2 linked regions of the Kluyveromyces lactis genome follow. The protein of the gene in region 1 interacts with the protein of each later gene in a pairwise test. Links are inferred from orthologs where the notes say so. Each region holds a gene or a part of one and is shown on either strand. Other genes may lie near its edges.

Region 1 (3,264 bases):
GTTACCAGATGCTCTTTAGCTGCTGTAAGCTTTGATAAGGTTTCAGTTACCTCATTACTGTCTTCATATTTAGAATTCAGCTCTTCTAATTGTTTATCAATAGCTTTAACGTCTGTCTCTAATAAGTTCACACTATTCGCTAGAGTATCCAAATAATACTCTAGTTTTGTTGTTCCTTGCTGTTCCTCATTTGCTGCGTATATAATAAGTTCAGCAGGCTTCTGAAGCACCTGAATAGTGGACTCAAGTTCTTTTGTAATATGCCCACTGTAATAGTCCATTTTTGAAAGTAGACTAGAGCAATTGGTCTTCAATTCTTCTAATTGGCTTGTCTGGAAAGATGATAACAATATGTCGACGAATGCTTGAGGTACAAAATCATCATCGAAAAACATGTCTAGCAAAGGGTCATTAGCACCAGATATCCTTCTACTCATCGTGTAGGAAATTATAGTGCTATATCGTCCTTCAAAGGTGATTTGGTGGCTTACTTGGGTGTTTCATGATCATCATATTTAGAGGTAGAAGGTTAACTTCTTCATTTTGATGTTAAGATTTCAAGATGATTTTTGGTGCCTTCAGATGCACAGTAAGAAAGGTTTAAAAGAGAAGGATACAATATCAAAGCAGATATTACTATACACATTGATGAGAGCAACGTATGGATAATTTATTGGACTATATATGGGTATAATTCTATTTACAATTCTATTGCTTCTCTTTTAGACTGGACGACAAATCAGTATTTCAATAGCATACCATTTTTTCCGACGCACCAAACATTTTGATGTGATTCATCAACACAGAAATCAGTCACTTCATCATAAGGACGAATTAGATGTGTAAGCTTATTGAAATTGAATTTCCCGTCCAAAACAGGTACATTGAAAGCAAATTGGACCCCACTAGAAACGTTCAACGTGTTATGTGCCAAGAATAATCTTGAGATAGAATCATTATCATTTACCTGGAGCGTCTCCACCGGTTTGGAAACGTTACGAGTATCCCATGATACTATCGTACCATCCGAATAGCCAGCAAATAGGTAATGGTCATCACCTGCAATGTGCTGGCTCGTTAGAGTGACACATGCAGATTTACTTGCCGGTAAAATATCCAATATCTTCTTTCTGTTATAGATATCATGAAACGTGATGATACCAGAGTCGTGTCCAGCAAATACAGCTTTCCCCTCAGTATTGTATTCGTTGCTATGGTCCAATGCATTGTACGATGTGGTCGCTGGATTTCCCTGGTAATTGGCCAATGAAATACAATTTATGCCATCGTTTGAATTGAGCGTAAAGACACATGCTGAAGTTGAGCATTCCCATAGTTTTAATGATCCATCCGAACTTGCAGAGACGAAGTTTCTACCTCTATCGACCATGGCAAAATCGTTGACTGACCGAGTATGACCTATGAAAGTTCTGAGCTCAGTACCGGTTGAAGCATCCCAAATCTTCAAGCGCATATCGATACTACTGCTTAAGAATCCATGGCCGTTAGGGAAAAATTGGGTCTTGGTGATGTGACTAGCGTGCGCTTCCGGTAACTTTATCACTTCTTGTAATGGACCGCTATAATTGGTACCGGTGTTCTTCCGTAGCACATATATGCCACCATTCGTATCACCACAAACCAAACGTATCTCGGGGTCAAACACGTTCGTGATATCTATACTTGTTAAATCAACAGCTCCAATATCAGAAGGCAGTTGGAACCGTTTTTTCGGACTTTGAAACGAAGCTAAATGTCCTGCTGTCGCATCAGGTCCTGTCAATTCATATAAATGTGGCCTTACCCTTTGAAAGGAAATTTTATCAGAAGTATTCGCATTATGAAACCCAACATTACCCCTGGAATCTAACCGTACATCAAATTCCAAATCGTATAATGGCTCACCACTGCTCCTGGATACCCATATCTTATCGCTGGCAACCTTTTCTCCTCTCACATCATCAAGAATATCATCAAACTCACTGCAAATGTTCCATTCCTCAACTCTCATTATATTTAACTAAGGGAAAATAACAGGAAGGTATACAGTAAAACGGGCAAATTGTTTGGACAGTTGATATCCACAGGAAACCTGCTGACATTATTGCTCAAAATCCATAAATCAGAAATCCACTGCTGGTGTTTAAGTTGTTCATCATCAATGAAGGTAATACGTACCTGATGCTCAAAAAACCCAAAGTCACGTGAATAACCACCTGAAAGATAGTCATGTGATACTCACGTGTAAGACGCGTAAACGCGAAAGCAATTTCCTCGATTTTATCCCTTTTATTTTGGTTCAACGAAAAATTTTCGAATTTCCGCAGAGTATATAAAGGCGAACTGTAAATAAACAACGCCATCTCAGGGTCAGTTATAGATTAGCTACAGGTGAAACCCAGGCCAAGTCGAGTCAAGTAACGGATTTGTTCTGCTATTTGTCTTTAAAATAGGTAGAAGAAGATGGGTGTTCAACTATTGGAAGGTGATTTATTGGATATTTTCCGTATTCCGGAGAGGTACAACAATCCTACCGGCGGTATTTACCAGGTTGTTCAAACCAAGAAGACTGAGACTAATGCTAAAAAGAATTTGATTCTCATCAACGATGGAAAATACCATGTCAAGGCTCTTTTGAGGAACAAAGCTGCAGAGGCGGCTCAACAGGCAGAATTAGAAAGAGGGGATGTTTTCAAAGTGTTGAACGCGGAATGCGCAGTGATCAAAGAGAAGAAGAAGTTTGTGTTGTTAGTAGATGAGATAGAGATTGTTAGCCGTGGGTTAGATTTGTTTAATAATGCTACAGAATTTGTCGATGCTTATTTGGGTGAACATATGAATGAGTTGGTGACTTTGACTGATAACGGGGCCGTAGCATCCGAGGCTGCATCGGCAGCTGCGTCTGCTACATCGTCTATGACTTCTAAGATGGCTCCTACCAGTACCAGCAACATTCCAGCCCCACAACCACGTTCTGTGCCCAAGGCAAAATCGAATAATGGGTCATCCCAAAATTCAAGGCCTATTTTTGCCATTGAACAAATTTCTCCATATCAGAACAACTGGACCATAAAGGCCAGAGTTTCTTTCAAAGGTGATTTGAAGAAGTGGCAAAATAATAGAGGTGAGGGCCATATCTTGAATGTGAATTTGTTGGATTCTTCTGGTGAAATTAGAGCCACTGCGTTCAACGATAATGCGATCAAATTTAACGAGATTTTACAGGAGGGTAAAGCTTATTTTGTATCAAAGGCTAGAGTGCAA
Region 2 (2,859 bases), on another chromosome or scaffold:
TATTTGAGGATCTATTAAATAATGTCGACCCACAAATTCAGCTCAACATAAAGGTTTTGTTCCCAACAGAATCTGAGATACAATCTATACCAATGAAAGTTTCTCCTAGATACAATTTGAATTGTTTCATAGAAACAGTCTTATCTACTACGTTTGAACATGTAAGGAAACTTCGTCAAATGGGATCGACGAGATCAATAGTATTCTCTTCAACAAATCCAAGAGTTTGCTCTATCTTGAATTGGAAGCAACCTAATTTCCCTGTGTTGTTCGATATGAATGTTATTTCCGAGAATAGTGATGGTGATTTGGTGAAAATTACATCTAATGACCTAGCGTCCATGGCACTCGATACTAAAGACATTATTTATGGTGACCCAGGTACCATGTCCATAAAGGATGCTGTTATTTTTGCTAACAACAATAACTTGTTGGGAATGATCCTTCCTATAAATTTGTTGGATATAACCCTACAGTTGGTTGATCAAGTTCTTGGCCATGGTTTATTTTTGATTGGTTCTACCAATGGAACAATCAGTGAACATGAACAACGTGACCTTGGTATTAATGGTATTCAATATAAGGAAGAATTGGTCATCCATGAAAACTCCGAAACTGCTGATAGGGAAGCCAATTTTATTTAATCTTGCATTTTGTTTTTTTAGAATCTTCTACACATCAATCGTTATAAGCTCAATTTAATGACTGTTTCAGGTATATAAGCATACATTAACTACCAGCCCCTTCGAATTGGATAAATCATTCAACCTTTGACAAAAAGTAATCCTTCACTTTTGCGTCAACACAGATTTTATCTATGGACAAGTCATCGTTGTCGGTTTCTCCTTCCCATAATGCATGATACTTGTTGACCAACGTGACAGCAACATCGCCGTGACCTTCTGCCAAAGCATGGAACAAAGGAGACCATCCGTTTTTATCCTTTATATTAACAGGAGAGTTTTTATCGCATAATATCGACACAATTCCCACTGAACCGGAAGCTGCAGCTCTATGCAAAGGCAATTGACCAAGGCCATCTTTAATTCTCACTGAAGCTCCTCTTTCCACTAAAAGTTGAACCACATTTAAATGCTTCTTAGAGCAAGCTAAATGTAAAGCAGTGATCCCATTATTAGCCTGTAGATCAAGGTTTGGTTCAACAGTATGATTAAGTAACTTTTCAAGAATAGTAACGCTACCGATAGAACTAGCAATGTGTACCGGAGACCAACCAGATTCATCCAAAATAGTGTCCAAATCAATTTTCTTCATATAGGACAACAATATATCAATTATGTTGTCTTGCTGGAATGATACTGCCCAGTGCAAAGGATATCGGCCATCATCATCTTTAACCTTCACTGCGCCCGGAAACTCACTTAATATCTGTTGAACCTTTTCGGTATCTCCGTTCATACACGCAGCATGTAACAAAAAGTCAGCACCCATAGTTTGAATTGTTTATTGTGCTTTCAATGTTTTACAAATACACTGATCCCAGGACAGCTCTTGTATGGTTCTGACCAACCAACGCTTGTATGAAATAAGCTGTCTTTAAGTTGAAACCCTTTTTAAAGGGTTTTTACCTCATATCAAAGAAATAAGAAACGGCAGTGGAAAGACTTGGTACACCTGGACGAAATCTGGGTACACATTTGGAAAGCTGACAGGTTTTAAGTACTAAATAGGATACTTATGGGTCTCAGATAACATTCAACTTCCCGGTGCCTGGCTATACCACCATGAGCAGAGGCTAGAGTGTTGATGTTTTATCACGTGATCCGTGCATTGTGACAAACATATTTTCGGGGATGTCGCCCCTTCTCAGATGTTAAGTGGCAAAGTGAGAAATGAGCAACTCAGTTCGTTGTTTGAAATTGCTTAAAGGGAAAGGGTTCAAGCAAAGGAACTAGGAGGTTACGACAATCGCAGCAGTAATATTATATATATAACCGCACATTGCCCTTTTCTGATTGGCTGTAAATTTGAAACAAAAGCTGTGTTTTTACCCCCCGCAAAGTTATTATAATTTAATCAAAAGAACGCAATGAACAGATATCCAGGTGATTTTGGTAAGTTTGCCAGATCTGTACAAAGACAATTGGCTCGTGCACAACAATCAGGTGGTAAATATCCTTCCGGACAGCCTCCTCGTGGTGCCTTTGGGGCTTTAGGTGGTTTATTTTTGTTGATTGGTGGTGGATTTTTGGCTAACGAAGCTCTTTTCAACGTTGATGGTGGTCACCGTGCCATTGTTTATTCACGTATCAACGGTGTTCAACCGAGAATTTACCCAGAAGGTACTCATTTTATCATTCCATGGGTTGAAAACCCGGTCGTCTACGATGTGCGTGCCAAGCCAAGAAATGTATCGTCATTGACCGGTACTAAGGATTTACAGATGGTTAACATCACCTGTAGAGTGCTATCCAGACCTAACGTAGAGAATTTACCAATGATTTACCGTACTCTCGGTGTTGATTACGATGAAAGAGTGCTTCCCAGTATCGTGAATGAAGTTTTGAAGGCGGTGGTTGCCCAATTTAATGCTTCTCAATTGATTACCCAAAGAGAACGTGTCTCTAGATTGATTAGGGAAAACTTGGTGCGTCGTGCTAAGCATTTCAATATCATGTTGGATGATGTCTCCATCACTTACATGACTTTCTCTCCGGAATTCACAAACTCTGTTGAAGCCAAACAAATTGCTCAACAAGACGCTCAAAAGGCTGCTTTCGTCGTGGATAAGGCCACTCAAGAAAAGCAAGGTATGATCGTTAAGGCACAAGGTGAGGCCAAATCTGCTGAATTGATTGGTGAAGCCATCAAGAAAAGTAAAGATTACGTGGAATTGAA

The links.
Region 2: the proteins of RPN14 (region 1) and NAS6 interact in binary tests that used the Saccharomyces cerevisiae proteins (3 or more experiments, as listed by UniProt). The link is inferred for Kluyveromyces lactis from reciprocal best matches to the Saccharomyces cerevisiae genes RPN14 and NAS6.

Annotation. Positions count from the first base shown.
Region 1 is NC_006037.1:775,707-778,970, reverse strand, and holds RPN14 (Rpn14p), read right to left. Parts: upstream 2,012-3,264; coding exon 740-2,011; downstream 1-739. Other genes in the region: Golgi transport complex subunit COG7, read right to left, coding at 1-437; replication factor A subunit protein RFA1, read left to right, coding at 2,464-3,264. UniProt on the Saccharomyces cerevisiae protein: Acts as a regulatory subunit of the 26 proteasome which is involved in the ATP-dependent degradation of ubiquitinated proteins.
Region 2 is NC_006041.1:1,405,743-1,408,601, forward strand, and holds NAS6 (Nas6p), read right to left. Parts: upstream 1,453-2,859; coding exon 760-1,452; downstream 1-759. Other genes in the region: PHO81 (Pho81p), read left to right, coding at 1-644; prohibitin subunit PHB2, read left to right, coding at 2,051-2,859. UniProt on the Saccharomyces cerevisiae protein: Acts as a chaperone during the assembly of the 26S proteasome, specifically of the 19S regulatory complex (RC) and appears to have an overlapping role with RPN14.